4 linked regions of the Stegostoma tigrinum genome follow. The main gene of each other region encodes a partner of the protein of the gene in region 4 in a complex. Links are inferred from orthologs where the notes say so. Each region holds a gene or a part of one and is shown on either strand. Other genes may lie near its edges.

Region 1 (8,313 bases), on a different chromosome or scaffold from region 4:
TTGTCCTAGCCCGCTTAGTATTCATACGATCCAGTCTGTTGACGTGTTTGTGTCATTTCCGGTTCTGAACTGGAAATGACACAGAACACCTCAACAGACCTGACCATATAAATAGCAAACAGAGTAGAAGAACATCACTTCATTGGAGGCTGTGCTGATGATGTTACCTAGCATGATGACAAAACATCTGAACTATAACCAGCCAGCTCGGCTAGCAAGTCAACTACCTCACCCACAACCCAAGCTACAAATCTTTGCAAGAACCTTAAGTTACAATAAACATCTAAGTTGGAATATATTAAGGTAAAGGAAACACAAGTAAATTATTGAGGATAAAGGAAAAGAAGGAAAATAATTTGCATTTATAAAGCTGCACAAAGCGGTATGGTGGCTCAGTGGTCAGCACTACAGCCTCACAGCACCAGGGACCCGGGTTCGATTCCAGCCTCAGGTAACTGTCTGTGTGGAGTTTGCACATTCTCCCTGTGTCTGCGTGGGTTTCCTCCAGGTGCTCTGGTTTCCTCCCACAGTCCAAAGATTTGCAGGCTAGGTGGACTGGCCATGCTAAATTGCACGTAGTATTCAGGGGTGCATTATTGGGGAAACCAAGCGGAGGCTTGGGGACCGCTTTGCAGAACACCTCCGCTCAGTTCGCAACAAACAACTGCACCTCCCAGTCGCAAACCATTTCCACTCCCCCTCCCATTCTCTTGATGACATGTCCATCATGGGCCTCCTGCACTGCCACAATGATGCCACCCGAAGGTTGCAGGAACAGCAACTCATATTCCGCCTGGGAACCCTGCAGCCATATGGTATCAATGTGGACTTCACCAGTTTCAAAATCTCCCCTTCCCCCACTGCATCCCTCAACCAGCCCAGTTCATCCCCTCCCCCCACTGCACCACACAACCAGCCCAGCTCTTCCCCCCCACCCACTGCATCCCAAAACCAGTCCAACCTGTCTCTGCCTCCCTAACCGGTTCTTCCTCTCACCCATCCCTTCCTCCCACCCCAAGCCGCACCCCCAGCTACCTACTAACCTCATCCCACCTCCTTGACCTGTCCGTCTTCCCTGGACTGACCTATCCCCTCCCTACCTCCCCACCCACACCTTCTCCACCTATCTTCTTTACTCTCCATCTTCGGTCCGCCTCCCCCTCTCTCCCTATTTATTCCAGTTCCCTCCCCCCATCCCCCTCTCTGATGAAGGGTCTAGGCCCGAAACGTCAGCTTTTGTGCTCCTGAGATGCTGCTTGGCCTGCTGTGTTCATCCAGCCTCACATTTTGTTGTCTTGGAGTCTCCAGCATCTGCAGTTCCCATTATCTCTGATAGTATTCAGGGGTGTATGGGTTATAGGGGGATGGGTCTGGGTGGGATACATCAAGGGGTGGTGTGGATTTGTTGGGCTGAAGGGCCTGTTTCCACACTGTAGGGAATCTAATCTAATCTTAAAAAAAACCTCAGGAGAGATTAAATCCCACATTATAAAGACAAAATGAAGTATGTTAAAAAAAAATGCACATCGAAATGGCTAAACGATATAAAAGCAAAATACTGAACTTGCTGGAAATCTGAAATTAAAGCAGAAAGTGCTGAAAACATGTTAGTATCATCTGTGCAGAGCAAAAACAAGTTGTTCTGAGTTGATTATGACCCATTTTCAGTCAATGAAAAGTCATATTCCAGTTGGAATGTTTACTATCTTCATAAGAAATACGAAATATTGAAATATATCACATTAACAGATGTGCAGGTGAACATCTGTTTGACGTGGAAAGGGGCAGGTGTAGCACGTGCTTCGCTTGCAGGGAAACGTGCCGTGGATGTTGGAGCTGGAGGCGAGTGTGGAGCGGACAAAGGAGTCATGGAGACAGTGATCCCTCCACAAAGCACGTAAGGGTGGGGAGGGAAAAGTGTCTTTGGTAGTGGGGTCAGATTGCAGATGGTGGAAATGTCGGAGGCTGATGCGTTGGATTTGGAGCTTGGGCCCATGAGGGTACCCATGGCCTTTGTCTGTACACCGCAGTTCATCCCTCTCCCGCTGCAACCCTCTTATACTTTCTTCGGCCCTGAAACTGCTCGACCCTATCCTAAAGCAAACTAATAATTATATCTCCCACTTCCTACAGACAGAGGGTGGCCATGGGTACAGGCATGGGCCCAAGCTATGCCTGCCTCTTTGTAGGGTACATGGAATAATCCCTCTTCCAAAGCTACTATCCCCCATCTCTTCCTCCGTTACATTGATGACAGTTTCAGCACCGCCTCATGTTCCCACGAGGAGCTTGAGCAGTTCATTCACTTCGCTAACACCTTCCACCCCAACCATAAATTTACCTGGACAATCTCTGACACCTCTCTCTCCTTCCTGGACCTCTCTGTCTCCATCTCTGGCATCCAGCTGGAAAGCGATATCCATTTTAAGCCTACCAAATCCCACAACTACCTAGAACATTCCTCCTCTCACCCACCTTCCTGTAAAAAGGCCATCCACTATTCCCAATTCCTTCGCCTCCGCTGCATCTGCTCCTGAGACATTCCACTCCGAAACATCCCAGATGTCCTTTTGTTTTCAAGAACTGCAATTTCCCCTCCACAGTCATTGAAAATGCCCTCGACCATGTCTCCCGCATTTCCCGCAGCTCATCCCTCACACCCCCTATTCGCAATAATAACCAAAACAGAATCGCCCTCGTCCTCACGTACCACCCCACCAACCTCCAAATCCAAAGCATCGTCCTCCGACATTTCCGCATCTGCAATCTGACCCCACTACCAAAGACATTTTTCCCTCCCCACCCTTATCTGCTTTCCAGAGGGATCACTCTCTCCGTGACTCCCTTGTCCACTCCACACTCCCCTCCTACTCCACCAACCCCTGCACTTTTCCCTGCAAGCGAAGCAAGTGCTACACCTGCCCCTATACCGCCCCGCCACCCCCATCCCCAAGGAAGACTTTCCATATCAAGTAGATGGTCACCTGCACATCTGCTGAGGTGGTATACCGCATCCGTTGTTCCCGTTGTGGCCTCCTCTACATCAGGGAAACCAAGCTGAGGCATGGGGACCGTTTTGCGGGACACCTATGCTCAGTTCGCAACAAACAACTGCACCTCCCAGTCACGAACCATTTCAACTGCACCCCCACCACCCCCCCCAACTCCTCGGATGACATGTCCATCCTGGGCCTCCTGCATTTCCACGATGACGCCACCCAAAAGATGCAGGAACAGCATCTCATATTTCACATGGGAACCCTGCAGCCCAATGGTATCAACGTGGACTTCACAAGCTTCAAAATCTCCCCTTCCCCCACTGCATCCCAAAACCAGCCCAGTTCACCCACCTCCTTAACCTGTCCTTCCTCCCACCTCAAGCTCCACCCCCATCTCCTACCCACTAACCTCATCCCGTGTCCTTGACCTGTCCGTCCTCCCTGGACCAACCTATCCCTTCCCAAACTCCCCACCTACACTCACCTTTACTGGCTCTAACCCTGCCTCTCGACCTGTCTGTCTCCTCTCCACCTATCTTCTCCTTTATCCATCTTCTATCCGCCTCCTCCTCTCTCCCTATTTATTTCAGAATCCCCTTCCCCTCTCCCATTTCTGAAGAAGGGTCTCGACAGGAAACGTCAAACTTTCCTGCTCCTCTGATGTTGCTTGGCCTGCTGTGTTCATCCAGCTTCACACGGTGTTACATCAGATTCCCCAGCATTGGCAATTCCTACTATCTCTGAAATATTGAAACATGCTTTTCCCTTAAGTAGTAGGTTTTTGCACCAAGGTCACATTTCACAAATTTTCTAAGTAACTGGTTCAAAATAAGTCATTTATTGAGTAGGAAATGTGAGGTTCGATGACCGTGTCTTTAACCTCCGGTAAATTGAACGGGTTATATGATCTGTTCTGAAATCTGCCAGATGACAAGACAAGGTGACGCGGCTGTTAGAGATTAAATGTAATGAAAGTGGAGATAATTGCACGAATATATTTACAGTGACCGGTAGTTTCCCAAGTCCCTAAAAGATGTAAAGCAAGTCTGGCAGCATCCGTGGAGGGAAAAACGTTCGAGTTCAATATGACACTTCAGAACTCAACTATTGCATCTTGTAGTTCTTAAGACATATACTGGGCTCAAATATTAACTATTTGTGTTTCCAGAGATGCTGCCAGATTTGTTGAGTTTCTCCTGCATTCTCTATTTATTTTAAATTTCCAGCATCCGCAGTATTTTCGCTTTTACAAGATTACGAAAGGACTACTTAAAGAAGCTGTGTAAAGAATTTTTTTTAAAAAAAGTAGTTTCTAGGTCCTATAAAAAGTAAAACGGCATGTTTTACTGGCTACAAAAAAAGTGTTCACTCAATACTGTAGCGTATTTCTTCTGTTTGCCACAGTTAAAAAAATAAAAATGTGAAATCTCGAGTCAACCTTTCAGATATCAATCTGGTACTTCGAATTACTTTTTAGAAGTTGAGTCTTTACGGAGATCGTACCCAAAAAAAACTCTTAAAACACTACATTCATTTCAAGTTCAGCTGAAGAATGATGTGTTATGATCAAGATCAGCAAGGCTAGCAGTTGTAGGTACCCGATTGACTTTTTAAAAGGAGTTGAGCAGGGGACTGAACAAATTAGACATCCCTCTGATCAGAAGCTGCACCAACAGGATGGGGGTCTCTGTTATCTGATGCATCTTCTTGCTTCCGTGCAATGAATCAGTGAATGGAGAGATATTGCTGAGTTGCGTGGAAGTTGAGTACGGGATACATACAAATCAAAGAGAGCATCTTCCAGCCCCGCTCGCTCATGCCGCCGTGTAATCGGAAACGGGTCTTAAATTGTTTAAACCAAACGATCGAAACAATAATCAGAAAATAATAAGTGCACGTCGGAGCCGGCACAACTTGAACAACGAACCCCGCCTCACCCCAAATCATTCGTAGCCTCAATAATCGATCAGGGAGCTCAGGCTTAACTCGACTCAAGAAACACAGAGGCCGACGGCTGCCCGCCTCGAACAGAAAGACCTGGACTACATCTCCCAACATTACCTTGTTGTTGTGGGCGTGCCGAACCAGGAAAAACCGCGCCAACGAAACAGAAGGGCCGCCGGCCCACCAATCGGAGTGCGGAATTTGAGTGCGCGGGGCGGGGAGGGGCGGAGCCGAGGCGCCGGTGTTTTTATCTGCCATTCCCCATTTTTTTTAAACGAACGAGCGGCGCTGGTTTGAGACGCCATATTGGAACCATTTTAGGGGGGAAGGAAAAAAAACAACCATCCCTTTTTTAAAAAAAATCGTCCGGTTTTTTTTACAAAAACCATCCATACTCGAAATGTTGTACTTGGAGGATTACTTGGAAAGTGAGTATTGAGTGTAAGGCAGCGTGTACAGCTGGGATTGTTTCCCCCCCCCCCACCCCGGCAGGGCCGGGCGGAGCGAAGCGAAAAGGCACCATTAATGCTGTTGTTTTCCTCTCTCGACAGTGATCGAACAACTTCCCATGGATCTGCGCGACAGGTTTACGGAAATGAGGGAGATGGACCTACAAGTACAGAGTATGCAGAGCCACGTTAGTCATGTCAGAGGCACACAACTCACCCGTGTTTTTTTTTAAATGCCGGGACACTGCACTGAACATTCTTACAGCCACATTACGATACCCGCGACTTCTCTCCTTCCACCTTACCTCTTTCAGTTTCTTTTCAAAACAAATGCCTCTTGACCCAAAACCTAAATATTCCGCCTTTGCAACATTTGAAAAGATCCAGGAAATAAAAGTTTCAGCCAAAATAAAACCACCTTTAGTTTCAGTTACCGAGTCATTTTTGATAATATTCCGATAATTTGTTATAGTTACTTTTACTTTTTCAGCTCCTTTCCCTCCCTTTTCTGAGATCACTTATCTATTGCCACTCAATTGCAGAGTCATAGCAACGTACACCATAGCAACAGCGTCCATCACTTGGTCCAGCGCTAGGTGGCAACTTCTCTTCCCTTTTTAGCTGCACTTGGATTTCTTTTCCATAAACAATTAATTGTATAGACTTTGCGAATGTTTTCTTAAATTCCTTTAGTGAGACCATTATTGCACTCTGTGGCTCGGTCTGAAAATGTGTTTAAAAAAAACTGATCTCCCCATGCGACATCAGTCTTTGATGTCATTGTAACTGCTGATATCGTAGCAATTTCTCCGTGATAACCTTTAAAATGTTGAATTTCATTAACGTATTTTAAAACTATCTTTACTGTACATTTTCCACTTGTGCACACATATATTGAATAATGAAATACTTTAAAGTGGGGTACGAGAATGGTTTTCTAAGTTTTCAGTTTTTAATATTTGCATTCTTGTGTTATTCTGAATTGAAGTACAGAAATATATTAAAATAATTCATCTCTAGTTTTCTGTAAACATTAATCAATTAAAGTAAATCAAATAGAAATAATGCATTTTAAAATTTATCAGGGCAACCTAACAACTAAAATTAAGTAAAGTTGTTTTTAAAGGAGACTTGGCTTTCAATTATCTTTTATTGCTACAACAGGTACCAACCATAATTTCTCTGCTTCAAAACTTTGATCACCACTGCTTGGATTGGACCATTTTAATTTGATTTTATTTAGCACGTAAATTAGAAGTCTCATTTGAACATTTACACATGTATTAAATAAAAGTTTGTCCCTAGCTATGTTAGAAACTAGATATTCAGATTTATTTGGCAAAAAATATCACAGTAAACTCCTTAAAATGCAGTTATACAGCAAAATGAATTATGGCATTACATTTCAAAAGTAGAGAGTTATTTTGAAGATTTTTCTTTTTGACCAGCTTAATAAATTATATTTATAGCAATCTGCGGTATGTCACTGTGAACGTTTTTCAAATATCTCCATTATTAGTTAATTTCACCCCATTCCACCCGTAATGGAGAGTTTCTGGTGAGACAAAATTGAAATTGATGGCATTTTGTTATTAAAACACATCTACAAACAGTTATTAAGATTCTGACCAAATAAACCTTGTAGACTGCATGCAGTTACAAGCACTCAGCATTTTCAGTAATTTGCTGAGCATTGATATACATGGTTTACTAGGTAAGCATTAGTGAAAGTATCAGCCAAAACTAGGCTAAGAAAATCCATTAAAGTTAGTTGTGGAATTGCCCTTGCAGAGTAAATGCAATTTAAAATTTATCAGGACATTCTAGTAACTAAAAAGAAGTAAAATTGTTTTAGAGGAGACTTGGCTTCAGTTACCTTTATTGCTAGAACAGGTACCAACCATAATTTCTCTGCTTCATAACTTTGATCACCACTGCTTGAATTGAAGCATTTGAATTTGATTTATTTAGCACATTAATTCAAAGTCTCACTTGAACATTTTTATGTGTATTAAATAAAAGTTCATTCCTGGCTATGTTAGAAACTATACAATCAGAAAAAAAATCACAGTCAACTCCTTAAAATGCAGTTATATAGCAAAATGCAACTGATCTGTGTAAAGCTCATTTATCAGGAGCTTATGGAAGTGAAAAAGAAGCTTAAGGCAACAAGAAGACTTAACACTTAAAAATTTGAAATTGATTGTAACAATTTGAGCTACACAGATTTACTGTATATAAGGGCCATGCATTTTTTTATTGTGATCTGTTACAAATTTTAAAAACCAACTAATAGGCTTTTTGGACTATAATTTTTTCAGAATACCGACCTCTTTTTGAAGTTATTTCATTTATTAAGTTATTACGGTGCTATGTTTTCAGTCATTGTTGCTAACAATCCATTCAGTTGTTGATAAAACTTGCTAAGAACTCCGGTTGGTACGTATTCTAAATGTTGCCTTCCTGACAACAAATCTTTGCTACCTCCTGGTGTTTCTGAATTCTTTAAAGATTTACTTCATTTATCATTTAACACAGAATTGAATGCTGCAAATGGAGGATTTTAGTATCTGCAGGAGGACTGAATTGCCTTACTCGTCTATAATTTTCTTTTGATCCTGTTAAGTATCTTTTATACTTATTAAGTTTCTTTTCGGAAGCTCTCAAAACGTAAAGTGCAGGCAAGACAAAAGTGTGAGGAAAGAAATAAACGGTAATTCATATATGTGAAGGAAAACATTAAGAGGGAATATTAATAAAAATTGCACTGCTTTTGAATACAAATCACTATTGATCACAATTCCTAGGAGCCTTTCTATACATTGAAGAAGAAAATGCTTAGTGGCAGTAGGAACACTAAATGAATGCCGCATTACCTACTTGTCTCACATACACTCTATCTTATTTATTTCTAACTGAAT
Region 2 (8,192 bases), on a different chromosome or scaffold from region 4:
GAGAAGTGTGAGGTCATCCATTTGAACTTAAACAAGACAAATGGAAATACCTATTAATGTAGAGAAGACTATTATGGGTAGAGGAGTAAAGGAATTTATGTGGTTGTTCATTTGCACAGCTCAGCGGGGGGGGCTTTGCATTGGTACAAAAATGAACCAAAATAGAATATTAGCTATTTGTATCAAAGGGACTGGAGCATAACTTCCCTCGTGCATTCAAGTTGTACAGAATCTTGGTCAGAATATTATTAGATGCCACTTTCCAGGTAAGAGTAACTGCGTTTGGATCAAATACAGCACAGAATAACCAGAATGATATTGGATATGAAATAACTAAATTATGAATATAGGTTGTACAAACTTTACTTTTAATTCCTCAAATTTAGCATTTCAAGGGGAGATATAATCTAGGAATAGGAAATAATAAAAAAAGAAAGGATACAGAGTAATAATTTTCACCAGTGAGATGAATCAGAACAAAATGACATCTTTAAAATTCAAGTTAAGCAACTGAATGAAGTCAGGAAGCACATTTTTTTCACAGGATAAAGGAAGAAGTTAAATCTTTTTTTTATAAATTGTGAATATAAGCAAAATTTATAACTTGATAAGTCTGAAAGAAAGTATATGAATAATGGGACAATGATCTGGCACATGTGAAGGAGGTCAAGTAGGCTCCACTTCTGATTTAAGATTCAATGAGCCAATTTTCACCTTTTGGGAAGTCAATAAATTGTTGTTTGGAGTGGCTACCTGTTGTTCACTCAATCCAATTTGAAGCAAATAGAAAGGGAAAATTGAGTGACTGTACATCCGACTGATCCATGTCTGCCTGTTTACCACCTCTGTAGGAGCTAAAGGTTATTCAGAATGTAAGTTGTAAATGGAATGATATGAATATTTAACACATTTAAGTACCTCTGAAGAATGAACAGAACAGAATCTGTTATGTTTGAAAATATGTAAGAATTCTATGACAGCCACTTATAAATAGGATCTAACTGACTTTACTAGGAAGAGAAATGTTGCCCATAACTAAAAGATATTAAATTTCCAACTTTCACTGTTAAGGAAATTCAAGAAATGTAGCTTAAATGTGTTAACTAGTGTTTTAGTGTGAAAAGATTGATCATTTTCATTTTCATTTTCATTTTCCTCCCTTTTGATATACAGGTATGATAAGAGGGAAGATCTTAAACCAGGAAATGTTGGAAGTATTGCATATACTCATTACCTAATGGAAATGAACCCAATTTATATATCACAGTGTAGGAACACTCATAGAATAATGTTTAATATTTCTGGTTTTAGCGGGATTGAATTTAACTTGTCTCAACTACCTCCACTTTCTATTAAAATGGAGACAAAATTAGTTATATTAGAAAAAATATTCACACATCATGAGAATATGAGAAAAGGTTGACAATTTGCCAACTTTTCTAACATTCTTTAATAAGACTTGCAGACAACATGCTGCTCGTTCTTATTTATTCAAGAATCTATCTGCATTGAGTGCCTGAACAAAATGTGAATTTGCTGTGTTGAGTGAATACTTATGAAATAAAACAAACTTTGACAGGATTTTGCTATTTAACATGAAGTATTCTAACTTGTTCATTTTACTTCTGGTTTTGCTGAATTTCCAGTTTCCTTCCTTATTTTAAAATCTGTCTCATATCTTCTTTAGCTTTACATTTCAATAACATGGTAAGAAATCTACTGAGATTTTTGCCAGTCCCTATTTTTCCATCTATTGATTGGGCAGAAATTACAAGATGACACATAAAATTCTACTCCTTTACCTGTCTAAGTATCAGCATTTACTACACAACATAACTTCACAATAGTTATTCATTGCTCTAATACATATAGTTTTGCATATCATACAGTTTGATATGTTTACAATCACTTAGTATGTTAGATAACGTTAAAGCAATAAAAATGTTCAGTATAGCTATCTGAAGTAATAAGAACTTCTGACGTAGTCCTTTTAGGACTAAATAATTGGGACCATCTTGGTCCACTCATTTATTCGTAAAGGTTTTTAAACCTAAGACCAAAACTAGAAGAAACTGGAGCATAAGTCCAGTTTGCAAAATCTGGCCTCAATCTCTGACAACTTATTCCTATTTGAAGTCAGATATTCCTTTATTTATTGTATTCTTCTATTTTTAAATTTTCAAAAACTGGAGTTTGGAAAAGTGTTGTTTTAGAACATAGAACATTACAGCACAGTACAGGCCTTTCAGCCCTCGATGTTGTGCCGACCTATCATACCGATCTCAAGCCCATCTAACCTACACTATTCCATGTACGTCCATATACTTGTCCAATGACAACTTAAATGTACATCGTGAAAGGCATCGATACAGTAAATAGACATGGTCTTTTTCCCTGGGGTTGGGGAGTCCAAAACTAGAGGATGCAGGTTTAAGGTGAGAGGGGAAAAATTTAAAAGGTATCTAAACGGCAACTCTTTCACAAAGAGGTTGTTGTATGTATGGAATGAGCTGCCAAAGGAAGTCGAGGCTGGTACAATTACAACATTTTAAAAGGCATTTGGATGGGTATATGAATAGAAGAGGCTTATGGATATGGGCCAAATGCTGGCAAATGGGACTGGGTTGATTTAGGATATCTAGTTGGCATGGATGAATTGGACCGAAGGGTCTGCTTCCATGCTGTGTGTATCTCTAGGGCTCTAACAGGCTAGTTGAAATTGGATGTGGCTTGCAGAGATTTTGGGTTACTTTCACCAGTGGATTGTTTTAGAACATAGAACAGCACAGTACAGTCCCTTTGGCCCACGATGTTGTGCCAAGCTTTTTCCCTAATCCTAAACTCTATCTGACCTTCACCCCCTACCTTATACTGTCATCCATACGCCTGTCTAATAGCCATTTAAATGCTCCTATCCAAGTCGACTCCACTACCCTCTCCGGCAATGCATTCTATGCCCTAACCACTGAGTGAAGAATGTACCTCTAACGTCTCCTCTGTATCTACCTCCACTCACTCTAAAGCTATGTCCCCTCGTAATAGCTCACTCCACTCTAGGAAAGTACTGGATAAATTCTAAATCAAAATATTGTTCTTCCTAGTAATTTGATATATGGGAACATGGATTTAAACTTCATATGCAACTCTAAAGCCACCATCAAATGTGCCTAAGACATGCATAAATAAAGGGTTTTTTTCTATAAAGACTATTTGGCTTATTACAATGTCTAGTTCATACTTCTGACCTCCACGACTACTAATTTATGGCTCTGTTCGTGTCCACTCTGCAGTTTACTGCAGTTAACTTTACAATATTCTTAGTATTATAAAGGTTTAGTACATATTTGTCTAAAGCAGAAACAGTATGATTCTCCCACTGGAACAAAAAGCATGTTACTTTCAGTGTACGTTTTTCTTTGTCTTGGAATCACTTGAAATGGAAATCAGTCACTGCTATATTCACTGTACATATTCTGTCAGAATCATGGGAAATAATAGTGAGGGTCCAATTTTTAAAAGGCTTTTTCCTATCTTTGTGAATCAGACTTGATCTATTTTCATGAAAGCTTAATCTCCTGGAGAGAGCAGGTTCATTACTTGTAGTGTCACTTCAGGACTTCACCTGACAAGGGAGCAGTGCTCTAGAACCTCCATGAGAGGGATGCTGCTTGGCCTGCTCTGTTCATCCAGCTCTACACCTTGTTATCTCAGATTCTGCAGCATCTGCAGTTCCTACTATCTCTGGGACTATAACTTGGTATTATGTGACTTCTGACTTTGCCTACCCAGTCCAAGAGCACCTCCACATCATGTTATAGATTTGTAAAAGCTTTTACAACATGCTTTATATTTCTAGCTAGTTTACTCTATTTTTCCACAAACCAGCTCATTTCCAAAACACCCCTAATTATCATATTTGCTCTCCACACAAAACAAAAAGACATACATTACTGAAATAATTGTTGTTCTTTACATTAGAAATCTCTGCTTTATCCAATAATTTCCTGTTGAAGGCACAGATGGGTCTTGCTTGTTGAGTTCTTGTTTTCAATAGAATGTAGTTGCAAGATATTTTTGCACTGTCAGTTTACCTTCAGACCTCTTTACCCAATTGACAGCTATCCCAAATCAAATAAACTCTTTTGAAGATTCATACTAGACTCCAACATTAGCTGCTTCTTTCTCCACAGATGCTGCCAGACCTGATGCGTTTCTCCAGAACTATGTTTCTTAAGGTGGGAACGATAAAGATGGGAAGGATTTTGCTGATCATGATTTTCTTTCCCTCAACTCAGCATTAATTTCACCCCCCCCCCCCCCCCCGACTCTTGATTCACATACTGAGCCATGCTCCCAAAAGCTTCAACCTGATAGTGCTGTTGGTGGGTGCAGCGTCCCCTCCCTTGGAATCTAAAGTCAGTGGGTTATAAAGGCTACAATTTAACATAAAAATACAGATCTATTTCATAAAAGGGAGTAACCTCGCCGTAGTCCTACCAGACCCGTAGTGCGGCTCTTTCATTAGAGAGGGACGAGTGCAGTCACCCACACATCAGGCGAGGGGGAAGAGGTTGAGAAGGAGAATCCTTCCAGGCGGGCTGGTGTGCTGTATTGGTGTTACAAGTCAGGAGACCCAGATTCAAATTCCACCTGCTGCAGAGATATGTCAATAACATCTCTGAACAGGTTGACGAGAAAAACTATCCAGGGAACTGAACTCACACTGTTGTCATCAGTCTGCATCACAAAACAGAGCTGACCGACCCGCTGAATTTTAACAAAACCTGTGTTTCAAGTTCACAGAGGCCCGCACATTACACTGCTACCGGGCCTCATCCTCCCAAGAGGATGGCCACTTTCAGAAAGCGGAGATTCTCTGTCTTTGACCCATCCTCCCCCCTCCTCGGACTCCACCAAGCCACGGGGTTTCCCCCCTGAAACACAAGGTTAACCGTGCGGACCACTCGCGGAGGGGGGTGGGGCGGCAAGACGCTAGTCCCGTCCGCTCCGCACGCTGATTGGCAGAGACGCCGGTGAAGCGTTTTGACAAGCAGCACGGCAGCCGGCCGGCGAGAACAGTTCAGCCCCGCCCCCAAGCTGTGACGTTGTGCATCAGCGAAACGGTGCATTGTTGTTGCAGAAGCGGAAAGAGCTGAGAAGCGAGGGCGACAAGAGTGGGGGAAGGGAGGAGGAAGAGAGAGAGAAAAAAAACCATCGTTGGGGTTGGTGGGGGGAGGGGACGGGACCTGTCGAATGTTCGCACGTTCGGTGACAGTTGGCGGTGGAACGCGAGCAGGAGGAGGCGGCTGCGCGCGGGCCTCGAGGGCACCGTGTTTTCATTCGCCCAGGAGCAGCGACTGGAGAGCGTGGACGGTCCGTCCGTTTGATGAACGGCCTCGAGGAAAGCGGAGCCGGGGCCTGCACGGAGAGGGCGCGTCAGTCCAGTCCGCTGACAAACACGGCCGTACACATACGCACAACACAACCCCAAACGGGAGAGAAGCGGAGTAGCGGTGGGGGGTGGGCGAAATAATAATTCTTTTTCAAAAAAAAGAGGCAATAGGCGGTAAGTTTTGCCCTTTAAACGCCGGCGGATAGTGAGTTGTTAACATGAGTGGGATTAGGGGGGAGGTGGACGAGGGGCGGGGAAGCCGCCAGTACCTTTCTTGCTCCTTGTTTTGTCGGACGCCATTTTATTTTTTCTCTCTCTCTGACTGTGTATGGGATTTGAGTTTGTTGGAGCTCTCCTCCCTCCTCCGCCCTTCGGTTCCGTGAATTTAAAGTCGGTGCCGCAGAAGGCGGGCGGGATAGATGAATGATGGCGCGTAGTTGTAAGTGGGAGGAGCTGAGATATGTTGGTATATCTAGGGTCCGGGGGCTAGTTATTTGTGTGTTGTGGAGGAGGGGTGTTGGCGGTGGCAATTGCCTCCCACCGGCGCCGGGCGCTGCCGCCGCTCCATTCAAATGGCCCGGGGGCCGACGCGCTGACGTCACCCCCGTCCGGACCGGAGCGACTTCCGGGTTTGTGCACAAGGAGAGAGCCCCGAAATGCCCCAGTGAGTGACAGTCTTCAGGCCTTCTTTCTTTCACTTTTCTCTCCCTCAACTTTAAAGTTCTGTCTGTACACAACCTATGTCGCATCTCGCGTTCGTCCACCAAAACTTCGGTCGACCCCAAATGTTCGTTGACCCCTCCCATTATTGTTTAGCGGCCTTTTGCACTGTTCTTGTTAGATACGCTCATTTCTTTCCCATCTTCGCGCTTACGCGTCCATTCTCTTTCCCTCCTCCCCCAACCTATTTGCATTCCTGTGCTGGGAACATTCCGCCCTTTCCAAGAATCTCCCCAAGTTAACTGCCACCTTGAACTTTTTAAAAAAGAATAAATCGTTCTCCGATTGTGGAGAATAACAGTTTCACTGTTGTGGATGATCTTTCGTGAAATCTTTCACGATGTTGGCAATTCTATGATAGTTTCTCTTGAAAGCTGCTCAAGCGAAGTTTTAATTTGCAACACAGCAGTCTCATTAACTGCAGATTTTGCAACAATCATGTCGACTGTTAGTGCGACGTTTTGGAAGGCAAGCTTACATAATCGGTATTTGGTGTAGAAAAGGGCATGGCATTTTAGAGATTTATTTTGAGTCTAATTTTGTTGGATGAACGCTAGTTTTATTCCTTATACTGATGCATAGATGTTCTTTGCTGATTTCTGAAAGTTTAATGAAATGTTGTTATGTTCCTTCGTTTGGCTCCATTGTTTTAGATTTTAAGGTTCACATTTTAGTGATTACTCAGCATTCATAAAATCCCTACAGTGTGGAAATTGGCCCTAAGTCTCAAGTCCACACCGACACTCAGAGCATCCCACCTAGACCTATCCCCCTACCCTTTCCCTGTAAAACCACCTAATTTACACATCCCTGAACACTGGGCATTTAGCATGGCCAGTCCACCTAGACTGCATACCTTTGGAGTTATAGCTTGAGCTACACATGTCCTTGGCACTAACCCTTTGTGTTAGGTAATAGCATGAACATAAACTCAATTCAGTGTTGTGATGTCATTATAAATTTTCTTTGTAGCATTTTAATGGTTTTATTCAGAGTTCCATTGCTACCAAAGAAGCTTATTCCATGTGTTTCATTTGTTTTTCCAAGTCAGTTTAGAAAATCTTTTGTGGTAAGAGAAGATATCTGCAAAGGAAATCTTCAAAGTTAGATCATTCCAACAAATGTATTTAAAAGAAGTTGCAGTCAACTGTGAAAGAATTCTTGCCTAATATATCAGATGGATTGTATTCACCCTAATAGAAGTACTTGCATACATAGCTTCAATGCAGTAGAACAGTGCTAAACTAAAGGCAATATACTGTAGCAGTCACTCTTATATCTTTCATTGCTGGTCAGTTTTCTGACACAAAATCCAAATTTCATGCAGTTTCTAACGTTAGATGTTCGAAATCCTCTTCAAGGGTAGGTCATCAGTGCCATCCAATTGTAACCCAAACATGAACGTTAAAAATGTCTCCCCAGTCTCTGCCAGTTGATTGAATGCATGCAACAATAAATAATTCAAAATAAATCAATGTTAAAAAACAGTGAAATGTGTGCACCTTCACTGTACTTGCATGGCACCATTCACATTAACTTAGAATAAGACAAAAAAAATTTGAGTCTGACTTTCCTTTCTACTGTTGCAGTCCCACTCAGGGCTTCCCAGCCATGCCGTTGCTGCTGCCAGTGTCCCGTTTCGGGCTGTCTCACTGGTCCATGAGTTGTGAATTGAACAATGGTGGACTTTGTCTTAATTTTTTAATGTATTATTTCTGTTATTAATATAGGTGCCAGACAATGGCAACTTAACCACTTTTCACTATACTTTTTTTAAAAATGTGTGACAATTAATTACTATTCCGTTTTGTTCAAAGGCTAAACATTCAATCTGCTGCTTTATTTTCGTAAGTATGTATCTTGTGTGGCTGTGAGATTTTGCTTTTTAATGAGGCCAAATGAAACAACCAGGTTGTGTCTAGTAATATTTATTTTCAAGTATTTTATGTCCAATTAGTTGCTTGACTGAATATGTTCTTCAGAGCTTTTTTTTCAGACGCAATAATATTGTAGACTCCTTCAAAAAAAAACCTGTGAAGTTTCAGTATTAGTTTGAATCATCAGTGCATTTTTTTTTGCT
Region 3 (7,471 bases), on a different chromosome or scaffold from region 4:
CACACTAATTTATAACGAATGTGCTTACAACAAAAATATTCAATATTATTGCACAATGGGTTAACCCAACATACAGTTCTTCAATGATAATGGGAACTGCAGATGCTGGAAAATCCAAGATAACAAAGTGTGGAGCTGGATGAACACAGCAGGCCAAGCAGCATCTCAGGAGCACAAAAGCTGACTTTTCGGGCCTAGACCCTTCATGATCCTCTCTGATGAAGGGTCTAGGCCCGAAACGTCAGCTTTTGTGCTCCTGAGATGCTGCTTGGCCTGCTGTGTTCATTGAGCTCCACACTTTGTTGTACAGTTCTTCAACCTAGGTTTGAATCTAATCCGAAACAACTGATTAAATTGTCATCTCTCTCCAAACGTACATTGGTTTTATTCCTAACAACACCACAGAATTTGGTATTATGTTAATTCTAAGGAACCATATATGTTATTTCAGTTCCTCTCTGATGAAGGGTCTAGGCCCGAAACGTCAGCTTTTGTGCTCCTGAGATGCTGCTTGGCCTGCTGTGTTCATCCAGCTTCACACTTTGTTATCATTACTTCATTTGTCTTTTTTTGTACTTTTTCATTGGATGTGGGAATTACTGGCAATTCCCAATTGTTCTTGCACCATGTGGATTATGATTTAAGGGTCAGCTATATTGTCTGGAGGCTTAATTAGGCTAAGTAAAAAGGATGGCAGATTTTGTCCTAAAGGACATGAGTGAATCAGATAGGCTTTTATGATAGTCAGCAATGTTTCCATGGTCACCAGCTTCATATTCCAAACATTTATCAAGTAATGGAATTTAAATTCCACCACCTTGATGGAATTCGAACTCAGGTCCTAATCCCTCACTTGAGCCGTTGGATTACTAGCCCAGTGTCATTCTCATTCTGTCGCCACATCCCTATCTGATGTCGTTCAATGCATGATAAAAATTAGAGGACATTATATAAAAACAGCGTACTGAGATACATGTAAAAAAGTAGAGATCAACTTATTCGACAGACCATGCATTGCCTCATCTTTCTGTGTTCAGTGCTAACAGTGAGTGCAACAAAGGGTTGTGTTGGGGAGGAGAAGGAAAGAGGGAAGGGTCGGGGAAGGTTGGAGGTATGGGAGGTTGGGAGGAGGGGTGGTGGCTTGATAAAAGATCCCTTTGACTGACCCCCACCCTCCCTAAATGTGGTTCCAACACCGAGGCTGTCAGTCTCTCTACCCACACATAGCTCAGGCAATGCTCCATTTACCCCTTTCACTCTCACCCTGTGGTTTGCTCTCCCCCTCCCGGATGCTCTCACCCTTCACCCCATTCCCATCCTCTACACTTCACCGCCCCACTGGGGCACTCAACCTCTCCACCTCCTCATCCTCCACGGAGTCACCCACTCTCCCAAGTCCCGTCCTCCTCACCACCCCCCCACCCTCATGGTGCTCCCATCCCTCTCACCCTCCAGGTGGAACCAGGTCTCGGGCTTGGCGTCGGGTTGTTGCCATGGGAACGCACCGGGCCGAGGCTCGAGCCACTCAGAGAAAGGGAAGGCACCTCAGCCAATAGGGTGGCGCGAAGCGTCAGACCAATGGGTTGCAGGGAATTGGCAGATGCATCCAATGGAATAGAACACTGGGCCAGGGCCAATAGGATTGAGGAAAATATGCAGCTGCAGACAATGGGAAGGGTGCCGGGTCCGGGCCAATGGAAGGGAGGGAAATGGCAGTCGCAGCCAATGGAATAGAGGAACGGGCTAGAGCCGGTATGATGGGGCATGTGGAGGCCACAGACTATGCAAGGGGAGCCAGGCTCAACCAATGGGATGGAGAAGGGCGGGTCTAGACCGACGGGTTGTTGGGGCAGGTGCAGCCAATGGAATGGAGCTACTAGCAACGATGTAGTAGTGTGGGCGGAGTGCGCAGCCGCTGTGTAGCCGGCAGTGCACGTGGAGCTGGGAAAGTAAGGCAGGAGAGAAACTGATAATGGGATGAATGGTCGAGAAGCATTATCAGGGTTCCTTCCTCCTTTTAACTGCCTACCTTTATCCCTCTGAGCTCCATCTATTTTTGAGCCGCTACTAATTCTGCATAAGTGTTACTCGACTTGAAATTTTAACTCGGCTTTCTTTCCACATGTGCTGTCAGAAATGTTATAGATTTGTGCAGATGAATGGGGCGGGAGGAACAAAATAAGTAGTCATGCTTTTAATGAACGAAAGCAGTGGCTACGTGACAAAATATTTCCTATTGGATAACAAAGTGTGGAGCTGGATGAACACAGCAGGCCAAGCAGCATCTCAGGAGCACAAAAGCTGACGTTTCGGGCCTAGACCCTTCATCAGAGAGCCAGCATTGGTCTAGGCCCGAAACGTCAGCTTTTGTGCTCCTGAGATGCTGCTTGGCCTGCTGTGTTCATCCAGCTCCACACTCTGTTATCTTGGATTGTCCAGCATCTGCAGTTCCCATTATCAAGGATCACATTGGACTTGATACATCAACTTTGTTTATCTTTGCAGGCATCCTGCCGGACCTGCCGAGTCTGTCCAACGCTTTGTTTCTATTTCGGATCTTCGGTCTTTGCTGAACTTTGCTATTGTCAAAGGGGGAGATAACAGTTGATTTTAAAAATGTCAAAATGGGTTTGAAAGGCAGAATAATGAACAGCTGTGCCTGCAGGTAAAATCACGTTTAAGATGGGCTCATGCAAAAGGAACTGCATAAAATGGAAGAGGATGTATTAACAGGAATTGTTACACCTAATGTTGAGTAAACTATTGTGTTTAATCAGAAGTCGAGGTGCTATTCCTCAAGCTTGAACGGAGGTGACGTAGCAATGTATCAGTGGCATATGGTGGTCTTGGTCTGGCGTACCTGAGCATAGATTCCTGGTATCAGGTGATTCCAGGGCAATGTCCCACTCTCCAGCAACTCAAGGTGAAGCCCAATGCAGACTGGACACTCAGTGCTAGGATAATCTGGGCTGGAAGGTTGTTGTTCTGCACTTCCATTTGCACAATGCTGGACTTTGAATTTCTCTATTTTTCTAAGATCTGGTAACTGAAGAAGCTGTACTGAGGTACCTTTTGTACCTAGGATGGTGCTGTAAATAGTGACTTATGAACTTTTCCCTACTCATTTGAGCATTTGACAATGAAGCTTATTTTATTCTGTTCTATGTGGGGTGTTGCAGTGGCCCTACCTCTGATTGAGGAGCCTTGCTTTGAGTCCCCTCTGTCTCAACACCTTTGAATAGGTTGATGAGAAAATATCTGCAGAGACCAACACTGAAACTCTGCAGCAAGGTGACGGTGACAATGACACCACCCAGAAAATGGAGGAGCAGCACTTTATATTCAGCGATAACAAAGTGTGGAGCTGGATGAACACAGCAGGCCAAGCAGCATCTCAGGAGCACAAAAGCTGACGTTTCGGCCCTAGACCCTTCATCTGATGAAGTCTGGGTCTTTGGGGGGGGGGCAGCGGGGAGAGAAGGTTGTGTTGCTGGTGTCTGGGTCTTTTGGTTGGGGGGGGAGAAGGTTGTGTTGCTGGTGTCTGGGTCTTTTGGTTGGGGGGGGAGAAGGTTGTGTTGCTGGTGTCTGGGTCTTTGGTTGGGGGGGTGAAGGTGGTGATGCTGGTGTCTGGGACTTTGCGGGGGGGGGGGGTGGGCAGAGAAGGTTGTGTTGCTGCTGTCTGGGTTTCTGGAGGGGGGGGTGGGGAGAGAAGGTTTTGTTGCTGGTGTCTGGGTTTCTGGGGGGGGGGGTGGGGAGAGAAGGTTTTGTTGCTGGTGTCTGGGTTTCTGGGGGGGGGGTGGGGAGAGAAGGTTGTGTTGCTGGTGTCTGGGTCTTTGGTTGGTGGGGGGGTGAGAGAAGGTTGTGTTGCTGGTGTCTGGGTCTTTGGTTGGTGGGGGGGTGAGAGAAGGTTGTGTTGCTGGTGTCTGGGTCTTTGGTTGGTGGGGGGGTGAGAGAAGTTTGTGTTGCTGGTGTCTGGGTCTTTGGTCGGGGGGGAGGGGGGAGAAGGTTGTGAGGAAGAAGGTTCCCTGCTCTTCGCTCACCGGGGTCCGGCGTTGTTGCCTGGTTACAGCGCAGCCAATGGGTGCTCTGCATGTGACATCAGAAGCCTTGACCTTTCACCCTTGTTTATTTTATTTTAGCAGTGGAGGAGAAAACACCGATAATGTCCTCAAATTCAACATTCAGTAATAATGTTAATAATCAGCGGTCGCGTTTCTATAAAATCTCGTGGGATAGTGATGGTTTAATCTTTTCTCCGGGCGGGGTTAGAGGTCAATGCGCGCGGTGGTTAATGGGACGATGGCGGCTAGTAGTGGCAGTGAGTAACCTGGCGACGTGGAGAGAGTGGGAATGGGAGAGACGGAGAAGTGGAGGGGAAAAAAGGGAGGTGGGAATAGAGTGGAAAGGTGTGAGTAGAGAAAGTGGGGAACGGGAACAGGGAGGAGGAGGAAAAGGAAAGTGAGAGTGAGAAAGAATGGGGACGAGGGCTATGGGTAGAATAGCGGAGAGAGCGAGGAATGAATGGAGACGGAGTGAGAGGTTGGTGGTAGGGGCTTCGTGGATGTTAGAGTGGCTCATTGGCGGGATGAGGAGGAGAAGCTTTCAATTTAGGAGTCCGAATATGAAAGAACTGTCAACGTGGGCAGTGTGGAGCAGTCTTGAGTTCTTGGCTTGCCTTCCCTTCCGCAATGTTAAACACCTGAAGCTTTTATAATGTTATTAGAAAATGCTGAAAATATTTAGTAGCTTGATCTGAAATGTTGACTCTGTCTGCATAGATGTTGCTAGCTGCCCCGAGCCTTTATAAAAACCGAAAGAACTGCGGATGCTGTAAATCAGGAGCAAAAACAGAAGTTGCTGGAAAAGCTCAGAAGGAGAAAACCAGAGTTAACCTTTCTGGCTCGGTGACCCTTCCTCAGAACTGAGCTGCCGGACCTGCTGAGCTTTTCCAGCAATTTTGTTTTTACAGCTAGGAAAATGTTGGTTTGTATGCAGAGGATAGGGTGGGGAGAGGTGTAAGGAGTAAATCATAAGTTGGGATAGAGCCCAAAGAAAGGAAAGTGCATTTGGATGGACAAAACTGTTCTTCCAGTTTGCTCTGAACTTTACTGGAACCCTGCAGCAAGTCTAACACAGTGATGTTGGCCAGTGAACAGGGTGGTGCGTTAATGTGGCAGGCAACTGGAAGCTCAGGGTCTTTTTGTTTTGTTTTGTGTGGGCAGAACGTAGATGTCCTACGAGTGTGGGTGTCTGAGACACCTTTGTCCACTCCCCCTTCACTAACACCCCTCCTATAGTTCTGTGGTACCTTGCCCTGCAACTGCAGATGATGTAACACTTGCCCGCCCACCTCCCTCCCTACTCTCCAAGTGCTCAAATATACCTTCCAGGTGGAGCAGCACCATACTTATAGATAGACCCTTGCTCTGTGACTAAAATACACTTAGCCTAGGACTTACTACTGTGTAGAAAATAACTGGAGGAATTACTGTTGTTGGGACACCCAGATTAGCCCAACAGTGTCTCTGGAAAGAGAATCCAAAAAGTTAACCTTTAAAACTAACTCTAACCTTCTGAACATTTCAAGCATATTCTTCTTTTATTTCCAATTAAAGCTTCCATAGCTTTTTGCCTCAGTTTTTTACATGTAAAAAACTAAGGTTGTACCAACTGTGGCCAAACAGTGATTCAGGTGGTTAAAGAGCACAGGCAAACTGGAAATCATGGCCTGGATGTTCCAATGCCAAATGGTGAATTTTAAGATGTTTGTTGCTGTTGTGTCAGGGTACTTCAGAAGCTCTGAATACCTCATTTCTGCAGTATTTGCTCAGCAAGTTAAAACCTCCATTGGCCAGGTATGAAATGCCAGGGCCTCTCTGAAAATGTTGACCTCTGTTAATTTCTGGTGGAGATTAGTGTTAATCAGTGGACCCCATCCCACAGCCTCCACATGCAGTCACCTTCATGAGCAACTTTAATTTTTCTGTGATAATGGGAACCGCAGATGCTGGAGAATCCAAGATAACTTTTCTGTAACGGTCTGGTGCCACTTCGTGGCTTGCTAGTTAACAATGTTGAATTACCCCATATAGGTTAAGTTCTTCCTTAACTGCCATTACAGAACCTGGTCACTTTTTTTATGGTGAGCCCAGTGATCACTTATACTGATACCAGTCCCTGTATTAAAGCAAAGTAAAGGTCCTGCAAATTATGGTGAAACTGAAAAGGAGGCCTGTTTCATGTTTGTTTCATTATTCAGTGGAGAAATAAAATGAATTTTAAAAAATGCAGGGCATAAATGAAAAGGGTGATAAATAGAATGAATGGAAATAGAATAATTGCAAATGTGCAAGTCTTTTGATAAGCATGAACAGCAGGAGATAGATGAAGGGTAGTATCTAAAAGGATAACTGAATACTGTTGGTAATCTTGCATTTCTCTTCAAGGAATGCCATTGTCACAGCAAAGGAGTAGATAATAGACAAGTGGATGAAATAAAAGCAAGAGTTGGTGCTTAAAAGGACAACATCTGGTCTAGAAATCCTCCCTCCTACTCTAAAATAACAGGCCAGCTCCAGTCCCTGATGATAGTTGCTGTTACATGTGTTTTCTTGTAAAAACGTGATTTAAGTAGATCATTTTTGTAGATTCTTGATTTATCCAAATTTACTGTTGAACTATTGCTATCAATGATGGCAGACCAACAGCACCATTATTTTTTAATCACACTTTCTGGAAATGTGAAATTATTTTTGTGACTATTTATTCTGCTTAGCCGCTTCTGAATTTTTCTTCTAACGTAATCTGCAAAGGAAATGGGAACAAAGGCAGCAGATGTAATTGAGAGGAGAGTGCATGTACTGTTGCTATGCAAAGAATCATGTTGCAATAACAACAAAATAATGTGCAAACCTTATAAATAGATGGCAGTAGAGGAAGACGTCAAGAGAAAGAATTAGAGATTTGAAGAGGAACTTTTACAAGATATTTTTCTGCTCGAAACTGGGCAGAATCAAGGAAAATAAATTTACAATGTATAACTAAGAGTCTCGACAATGTTGCTATTGTAACGAGCAATTAATCATTACCTCTGTAGTTTCTGTTCATGAATATATAAATTGGTGTTGATTACTTTTCCCCCATATCACCTGTTGTACATGTTATGTTTCTTTTGAAAGCCCAATGTAGAATTAACTGAAAATACTGCGCCCCTCCCAAACCCCGTCCCCACCAATATTTTTCACTCATCCAATACCATAGAATGATTACCCACAAAATGGGCATTTGTTCCATCGTTTACATGCTGGCTCTTTGCGAGAACTACTCACTTTATCCCGTTCCCTCATCTTTTTTCAATAGCCCTGATGTACATAGTTCAGCTGTTAACATATCCACATACTTGAAGAGAGAGATTTATGATTATACATTGTCAAATTGTGATTCAAGATATTCAATGGGAAATGAAGCATTC
Region 4 (7,673 bases):
AGTTAACACAGTGTGGATCTGGAGGAACACAGCAGGCCTGGCAACATCAGAGGAGTAGGAAAGTTGACATTTCGGGTCAGGATCCTTCTTCAGGAATGGGCACTTTCCTGCTCTTCTGATGCTGCCTGGCCTGCTGTGTTCCTCCAGCTCCACACTGTTATCTTTGACCATCTGTGGATGTTGGAAATCAGAAACAAAAACAGAAATTGATGAAAACGCTCAGCAGATCTGGCAGAATTTATGGAGAGAAATCAGATTAATCAGTTTTGAGTCCAGTGAACATTCTGCGGAACTGATGGTAGCTAGGAAAAGGTTGGGTGGAGAGGAGACCACATCGTAAGCAGCAAGTACAGTAGACAAAATTCAGTGAGGTGCTGGTATATCACTGCTTCACTTCAAGGGTTTGGGGCTTTGGATGGTGAGGAGGGAGTAAGTAAAATGGGTAGGCGCTTGACAATTTGCAATGAATGGAAAGGTGCCATGGCGGTGTAGAGGGAAGGAGGAATGGACTGGGGTGTCCCGGAGGGAATGGGCCTTATGGAAGGCTGTCAAGGGAGAGGAGGGGAAATATGTGTCCTCTACATTGGAGAAACGAAGCTCAGTCTGGGTGACCATTTTGCAGAACACCTACATTCTGTCAGCAAAACGACTCTGAGCTTCCAAATGCCTGTCATTTTAACACACCACCATGTTCCCTGGCCAACATGTCTGACTCGGGCTCGCTGCAGTGCTCCAGCGAAAGTCAGTGCAAGTAGAAGGGCAGCACCTCAGTTTCCCTTTTGGAACTCTGCCACCTTCTGGACTTAATGTGGAGTTCAACAATTTTGGTGTTTCTGCATCTTTTTCCATGTCCTTACCCCAACACCCACACACCAAGGCTTGTCGTTACATGGGCTGCTGCCACACACAACCTGTTATCAGCCATTATAGCCCCCATTAGCAGCTATTCATTCCTTGGGCTGACCTTTATCCACTCCATTGTCTGTCCAACTGTTTTTCTGTCCCTTTGGGTTCAATCTCCGATGAAAGTATTTACTTCCAGCATTTGAGTCCGTGTTACGATGTGTTTCCAGTCCTGTTGTATGAATTCATCACATGACATTAGCTATTACCCTGTGCCCATATATTTGCACCAAAGTTAATTTTTTGTCTGACCTTTGTCTATGCAGTACCAATAGTCGTAGCTATGATGCCAGCTTGCATTTGTGAGTTGATAGTACTCGACATTATTGCTTCACCATCTGCTGGGTTATCCAACCACTTAGCTGACAAGTAACAAAACCAAAGTTAACCTAATTAAACTTTCAGCAAAAACTTCAGACAACAGTCTAATTTCACCTCTTTCTCAAATGCCCAATTTGATGGATGCAACCTCAGAGTCCTGGTTTCAAGTACCATCTTTCGGTCTAAAACCATACTATTCTGTCCCTGAAACATTGCCTGTCTCCATTCTTCTTCACCCCCTTTACCAGTGATGTTCTCTTGTTTCAGATGAACTCCTCATCTGTCCAATCTCTACTCAACCAAAGACTTGCCGTCCATTTATTCCATCAAAAATATCCTCAATAACTTACAATCCTATTTTGGCAATAATGCGAAGGTGCCCTGTGGAAGATAGCAATGGACAAGTCAGGTAGATACAAAAGCTGTGACAGCAATTTAACCTGTAGAACTGCAAGGTGATCTGTTGAGGAGGTCAAACAAGGTAACAGTATGCATACCTGATGAACGAATGAGAAATAGTAGAGTGGAAATAGTCATAGAGACGGACAGCATTGAAATAGCCTTCGGTCTAACATGTGCATGCCGACTAGATATCCTAAATAAATCTAGTTCTGTCTGCCAGCATGTCGCTGATATCACTCTAAACCCTACCTATTCGTATAGCCATCCAGATGCCTTTTAAATGTAAGAACCGAAATAACTGTGGATGCTGTAAATCAGGAACAAAAACAAAGATGCTGGAAAAGCTCAGCAGGTCTGGCAGTATCAGTGAAGGAGGAAACAGAGTTAACGTTTCGGGTCTGGTGACCCATCCTCAGAACTGTTCTGAGGAAGGGTCACTGGACCCGAAATGTTAACTCTTTTCTCCTTCACACATGCTGCCAGACCTGCTGAGCTTTTCCAGAAACTTTGTTTTTGAGCCTTTTAAATGTAATTCTACCAGCCTTCACGTCCTCAGGCAGCTCATTCCATCACGGTCTGTGTTAAAAAGTTACCCCATGTCCCTTTTAAATCTTTTCCCCCTCATCTTAAACCTCGCCTTCTAGTTTTAGACAGCCACACCTCAGGGAAAAGACCATGTCTGTTTACCCTCTTCATGCTCCCCATGATTTTATAAACCTCTATAAGGTCACGGCTCAGCCTCTGACGCTCCAGGGAATATAACCCCAGTCTATTCAGCCTCTCCCTCCAGCTCAAATCCTCCAACCCCGGCAACATTCTTGTAAATATTTTCTGAAACCTTTCAAGTTTCACAACATCCTTCCTGTAGGAGGGGGACCAGAATTGCACACAATATTCCAATAGCGGCTGAAACAATGTCCTGTACAGCCGCATGTCACCTCCCAACTCCTGTACTCAATGCACTGACCACTAAAGGCAAGCAGACAAAATGTCTTTTTCACTATCCTATCTACCTGTGATTCTGCTTTCAAGGAATTATGAACCCACGCTCCGAAGTTTCTTCGGAGGAACTTAAGAAACCTTGCAATGAATATTCACAGAGCTGTCAAGGTGAAAAAAATGCTTTCCTGTAGTATTCAATGTATGGACTATAATAATGGGAACGTTATGCTGGAACCATACATTAGTCCATAATTTGAGTACTGAATGCAGTTTTGATTACTTCATTATAGAAAGAATCCAGTAATTGGAACTGTGTTGTGTGTAACACACCCTCCAGTCCTGGTTTCTGAAGAAGGGTCTTTGACCTGAAACATCAAACTTTCCTGCTCCTCTGATGCTGCTTGGCCTGCTGTGTTCATCCAGCTCTACACTTTGTTATCTCAGATTCTCCAGCATCTGCAGTTCCTACTGTCTCTTTCCAGTCCTGGTTATTTTGTTTATTTATTGTCACATGTATTCTGTTACAAAATACAGTGAAAACTGTAGTATTGCGTTGCTGCTCTCTGGCGCCATCTTAAAACACAGAAAAAAAACAAAACATAGAATATAAAGGCAGAAAAATAAAGTTCAACTTGACAGTCCTTGTAAAGAATTCCGTCATGGGCCTGGAGAGACAAGCTGTTGCTGCATTGCCAGATCAAGAGCCACCATTCTGCGGCGCCATCTTGCTTCTACCGATACTGCAGCCACCATAAGTCTTTGCTGGGCCTCCCCAATGCAGCTGCCACCGATGACGCCAGGGCCTCCATCAGCCCAAACTTTTCTTTGCTGCCACCGCCAAGAGCCCAGCCTGGGTCCACCTGACTGACGCAGCAGCTACAGATGTTGCCAGGTCTCGTACTGGGACCAAATGGGTTAAACAGGAAAATTGCGATAACAAGTGGTTGGAATTTTTGGGAAGGGATCAGTGGGAAAAAGGCACATGATTGAGTCAGAGAATAGGTACACTGCAGTGAGGCTAACAGATATACTTGCCGGAACATGAGTCACCACTCTGTGGCTGAGAATGGCAGTGTATTCAGTGTAAATCACTGTCCAGTCCTGACGGTGGTGGTGCATTAGGCATAACTTGTCTACTCCTGAGAGTCAGGCTGAGTTAGTGTAAAACACGTCGTGTCCTCAGGGTGGTAATATATTGGGCATAAGTCAATCTTCAGTCCTGGGGGGGGGTGTAATGCATTCACGAGTCCTGACGGTGGCAGTGTACTCTGTAATTCACCCTCGAGCCCTGATGGGGCAGTGTATTCTGTGTAATTCATCCTCCGTTCCTGATGGTGGCAGTGTACTCAGTGTAATTCACCCTCTATTCCTGACGGTGGCAGTGTACTCAGTGTAATTCACCCTTCAGGCCTGACGGTGGCGGTGTACTCAGTGTAATTCACCCTCCATTCCTGATGGTGGCAGTGTACTCAGTGTAAGTCACCCTCCAACCCTGACGGTGGCAATGTCCTCAGTGTAATTCACCCGTCAGGCCTGCCGGTGGCAGTGTACTCAGTGTAATTCACCCTCCATTCCTGATGGTGGCAGTGTACTCAGTGTAAGTCACCCTCCAACCCTGACGGTGGCAATGTCCTCAGTGTAATTCACCGGTCAGGCCTGCCGGTGGCAGTGTACTCAGTGTAATTCACCCTCCATTCCTGATGGTGGCAGTGTACTCAGTGTAATTCACCCTCCAACCCTGACGGTGGCAATGTCCTCAGTGTAATTCACCGGTCAGGGCTGCCGGTGGCAGTCTTGCCCAGGCGGCGCCCCCTACTGGTTGGAGGTCCATCCTGCGCCCTCCTGCCGGCCGCGGCCTGAAGAAGCGGTTATACCCCCCAGCCCGGGCGCTGCTTGCTCGCCAGCTCCGACATGGCGATGCACAACAAGGCGCAGACCCCACAAATTCCGGACACCCGGCGGGAGTTGGCTGAGCTGGTCAAGAGGAAGCAGGAGCTGGCGGTATGTGAGCCTCGGATGGATGGGGGTGGGGAAAGCAGCGGGTTCGGCGGGAACCGGAGCCAGTGCTCGAGGCCGGGGAGGCTCAGGCAGGAAAAGCCGGGGAGAGCCTGGGCCGCAGCGGGTCGGGGAGGCGGTTGAGGACGATGTCAGGGCCATGTGGTTGGTGGGGGGGGTTGGCCCCAGGTCTGGTACTTAGGAGATAGGGAGAGTTATCCAGTGACCCTCCACTTGTGTGTGGTGGTGGGGGGGGGGGAGGAAAGGGTGATGTTGGAGCTGGTGTCCCTGCCCTGGGGCATCAACAGCGGGCACCCTGGGTGTGGGCTTGTGTCATATCGGACAGACCTGCAGGAGTGGTGTGCATGTATTTGTTGCTCATGTCCCTCTTGTCACACGCCGCACAGTGAGACATTATTCTCGCTTACACTGTTGTTACGGTCAGTGTAGAATGTGTGGGGTGTCCCAGCCTTGTCAACACAGAGAACCACCGCTTTCTCCGTTCAAGGCTACATTGAGCTTTATTTTTTTTTCCCCCAGGCTTTGTTGGGCAGAGTGGGAATTTCAGTTTCCTCCCCCAGCGACAGATCTAGTAGGGTGGAGAGCTGAACTGCTGGGATTGCAAACTCTGAAACAGCGATCCGGTGTGACACAAATATATGCAAGTGTCGGTTTATCTGCAGCTGAGTGAGGGACATTGACAAAGATTTTTACTTGCAACAACTTTTATTTTCCTGTGCAGGATTCTCAGTGATGGGTTTGTGTGGTCCCTGTTTATGTTTTTGTGTGTTTGCTGTGACTGCCATAATTGGTGAAGTATGCAAGGTGGAAAATATGGGTATGCAGCTTGTAATAGTGCCACATTCAGAGATCAAGGTAAAGCCGTAGATATTTGGTATGAATCGTTATTAATAGATGTGAAAAGAGAGAAATCAGTGTGAGACGATTTGGGCAATTTGAGGCTCCTGTTGCACTTGTCGAATGTGGCATCTGAGTATATGTTCATTGACCTTGTTTACTCATGGGATGTTGAGCTTCCTTTGGCACCTCATTCAGGACCACCAGTTTGGTTCATTGCATCGATCTCTACCTCTACTTACCTTTTGAACCTTGTCTGGGGGCAGGGATGGGGTGCCTCCTGGCCTCTGGTGATACAGACCACCTTTCCACTGCCTTCACCAGAATGTCCTGTGAGGCATCTGAAAGTCACAAGCTTTCTTTCTCCTCTCTTATGCCATTACGCTTCACGAGGTCAGAAGCTCTTTGCCTATGACTCTTAGCATCTTTTCCAATCCCAGTACACAAAAGTGCAGTACAAGCTTTGTATGTGCTCGCCACTTGTGCTTTTGACTCTGCTAATGCATTCAACTAGTGCACGAAGTGATTAGCAATGATTGGTTATACACAGAAATAAATCCAAATGAACAGGCAGCACAAAGTTTAAATCAAAGCAAAATACTGTAGATTCTGAAAATCTGAAATAACCACTGAAAATGCTGGAGAAAGTCAACAGGTCTGGCTGCATCTGTGGACAGAGAAGCAGAGTTAAAGTTATGAGTTTGGGGTGACATGTTTATTCTAAAGAGGCCTATTGTATTCAAGATGTTTACTCTGTTCTCTGTGTAGACCTGTTGAGTTTTTCCAGCATTTTCTTTGTAACTCAAAAGGTTGTAATTACATTACAAATAACACATACTGGCTAATGGTACATCACAATTCCTGTGTCTGATTTTCAAAACTAACCAGTTTAGCTCCAATTGTTGTGAATCCCAACAAAAAGCATTCATTCTCTTTCTTTGTCCAACTGTTTTTCATAATTCTTTGAAATAAACATTACAACAAATCTTCATAGCAGGTCATTTTTCTTCCCCAGCAGTTTGATAAATATTTTTGTAACTTTTATTTCCACAGGAGACTTTGGCAAACCTGGAACGTCAGATCTATGCTTTTGAAGGAAGCTATTTGGAAGATACACAAATGTATGGGAATATCATTCGTGGATGGGATCGTTACTTGACCAATCAGAAGTACGTGTATTGACTTTGTGTTAATAGAGCTGTCAAAGTGACTCAACCGAAACAAATTTGGCAAATTTTCGAGTCCATTCCTGTATAATTCACAGGCAATATTATTTCACTTTTTAAAGTCTGCTTTTTGAAATGTTGTTAATTTACTGCTGGAATGGACATTTTGCTTATCATACTTTTCAAACAAATGGATGAAAAATTTTGCGTTGTGTGAATTTAAATAGTTTTGATTTTACTTTCTGAGGCCAACTGTTGTACATTGAACTTTCAGAATTCTCAAAAATAAATGCAGACAGTTCTGTACATTAAAAAAAAGTAATGAATACACCTAAATAGGGTTTCTAGTAACCTGTTCCTAAACATACACTGAAGTACATAGCTGAGTTGTGGTGGTCTCTGGATGAGTCTCTGATTCCTATCATGTTAACTCACCTGAAGATGTGTTATTACTTGGGACCCCTACAGTTGGCGTTGTCAACTCTGAGTGAAGGCCAGGGAGTGGTACGCCAGGACTTTTGCTGAACACCGTGTGCTGACTGTTCCTGGAACGTACATCTGTGTAGAGTTATAAAGTCATACAACATGAAAACAGTCCATGCCAACCATGTTCGTAAACTAAACTACTCCCACTTGCCTGCGTTTAGCCCTTCTTCTTTCATATTCTTTCATATTCATGTACTTAGCCAAATGTCTTGTATCCACCACTTCCTCTGGCAGTTCCTTCCACACATAAACCATAAAAAAAGGATCAGTTGAAATCCCCACAAGTTAACAATTTACTGACATTAACGACCTGAGCTGACAGTCAAAGAATGACAAATTGAGGGCACGAAAAGGTAGAATTGTACGCAAGCAGCATTCACCACCTTCTTGAGAAGTTTGAAGATTGTTGTAGGGTGAGAGAGTTCTCCTCGGAGAATCTTAGTTTCTTCTCAGGGCAGTGCCAATATCAAGATTGAAAGTTGTACACTTCAAAGATTACTGACTCTGTGATTAAAGGGATTGTGTGAATTTATATTTTTGGTAATGGTGGCCTTAAGCTATTGGTAGCATTTTGTTAGGAATGGAGGACATTTTACAATA

What was found.
Region 1: meaf6 (region 4) and ing3 share a complex: the UniProt entries of both Homo sapiens proteins name them as parts of the nuA4 histone acetyltransferase complex. The link is inferred for Stegostoma tigrinum from reciprocal best matches to the Homo sapiens genes MEAF6 and ING3.
Region 2: meaf6 (region 4) and brd1a share a complex: the UniProt entries of both Homo sapiens proteins name them as parts of the MOZ/MORF complex. The link is inferred for Stegostoma tigrinum from reciprocal best matches to the Homo sapiens genes MEAF6 and BRD1.
Region 3: meaf6 (region 4) and brd8a share a complex: the UniProt entries of both Homo sapiens proteins name them as parts of the nuA4 histone acetyltransferase complex. The link is inferred for Stegostoma tigrinum from reciprocal best matches to the Homo sapiens genes MEAF6 and BRD8.

Annotation. Positions count from the first base shown.
Region 1 is NC_081371.1:36,896,066-36,904,378, forward strand, and holds the start of ing3 (inhibitor of growth protein 3), read left to right. Parts: upstream 1-5,103; 5' UTR 5,104-5,343; coding exon 5,344-5,371; intron 5,372-5,494; coding exon 5,495-5,566; intron 5,567-6,454; exon of another isoform or gene 6,455-8,012; intron 8,013-8,313. UniProt on the Homo sapiens protein: Component of the NuA4 histone acetyltransferase (HAT) complex which is involved in transcriptional activation of select genes principally by acetylation of nucleosomal histones H4 and H2A.
Region 2 is NC_081378.1:30,366,405-30,374,596, forward strand, and holds the start of brd1a (bromodomain-containing protein 1), read left to right. Parts: upstream 1-5,159; 5' UTR 5,160-5,566; intron 5,567-5,661; exon of another isoform or gene 5,662-5,869; intron 5,870-8,192. Other genes in the region: alg12 (dol-P-Man:Man(7)GlcNAc(2)-PP-Dol alpha-1,6-mannosyltransferase), read left to right, coding at 1,174-1,423. UniProt on the Homo sapiens protein: Scaffold subunit of various histone acetyltransferase (HAT) complexes, such as the MOZ/MORF and HBO1 complexes, that acts as a regulator of hematopoiesis.
Region 3 is NC_081376.1:48,890,133-48,897,603, reverse strand, and holds the start of brd8a (bromodomain-containing protein 8), read left to right. Parts: upstream 1-4,293; 5' UTR 4,294-4,299; coding exon 4,300-4,318; intron 4,319-7,471. UniProt on the Homo sapiens protein: May act as a coactivator during transcriptional activation by hormone-activated nuclear receptors (NR). Isoform 2 stimulates transcriptional activation by AR/DHTR, ESR1/NR3A1, RXRA/NR2B1 and THRB/ERBA2.
Region 4 is NC_081377.1:12,577,471-12,585,143, reverse strand, and holds the start of meaf6 (chromatin modification-related protein MEAF6), read left to right. Parts: upstream 1-4,378; 5' UTR 4,379-4,479; coding exon 4,480-4,569; intron 4,570-6,474; coding exon 6,475-6,590; intron 6,591-7,673.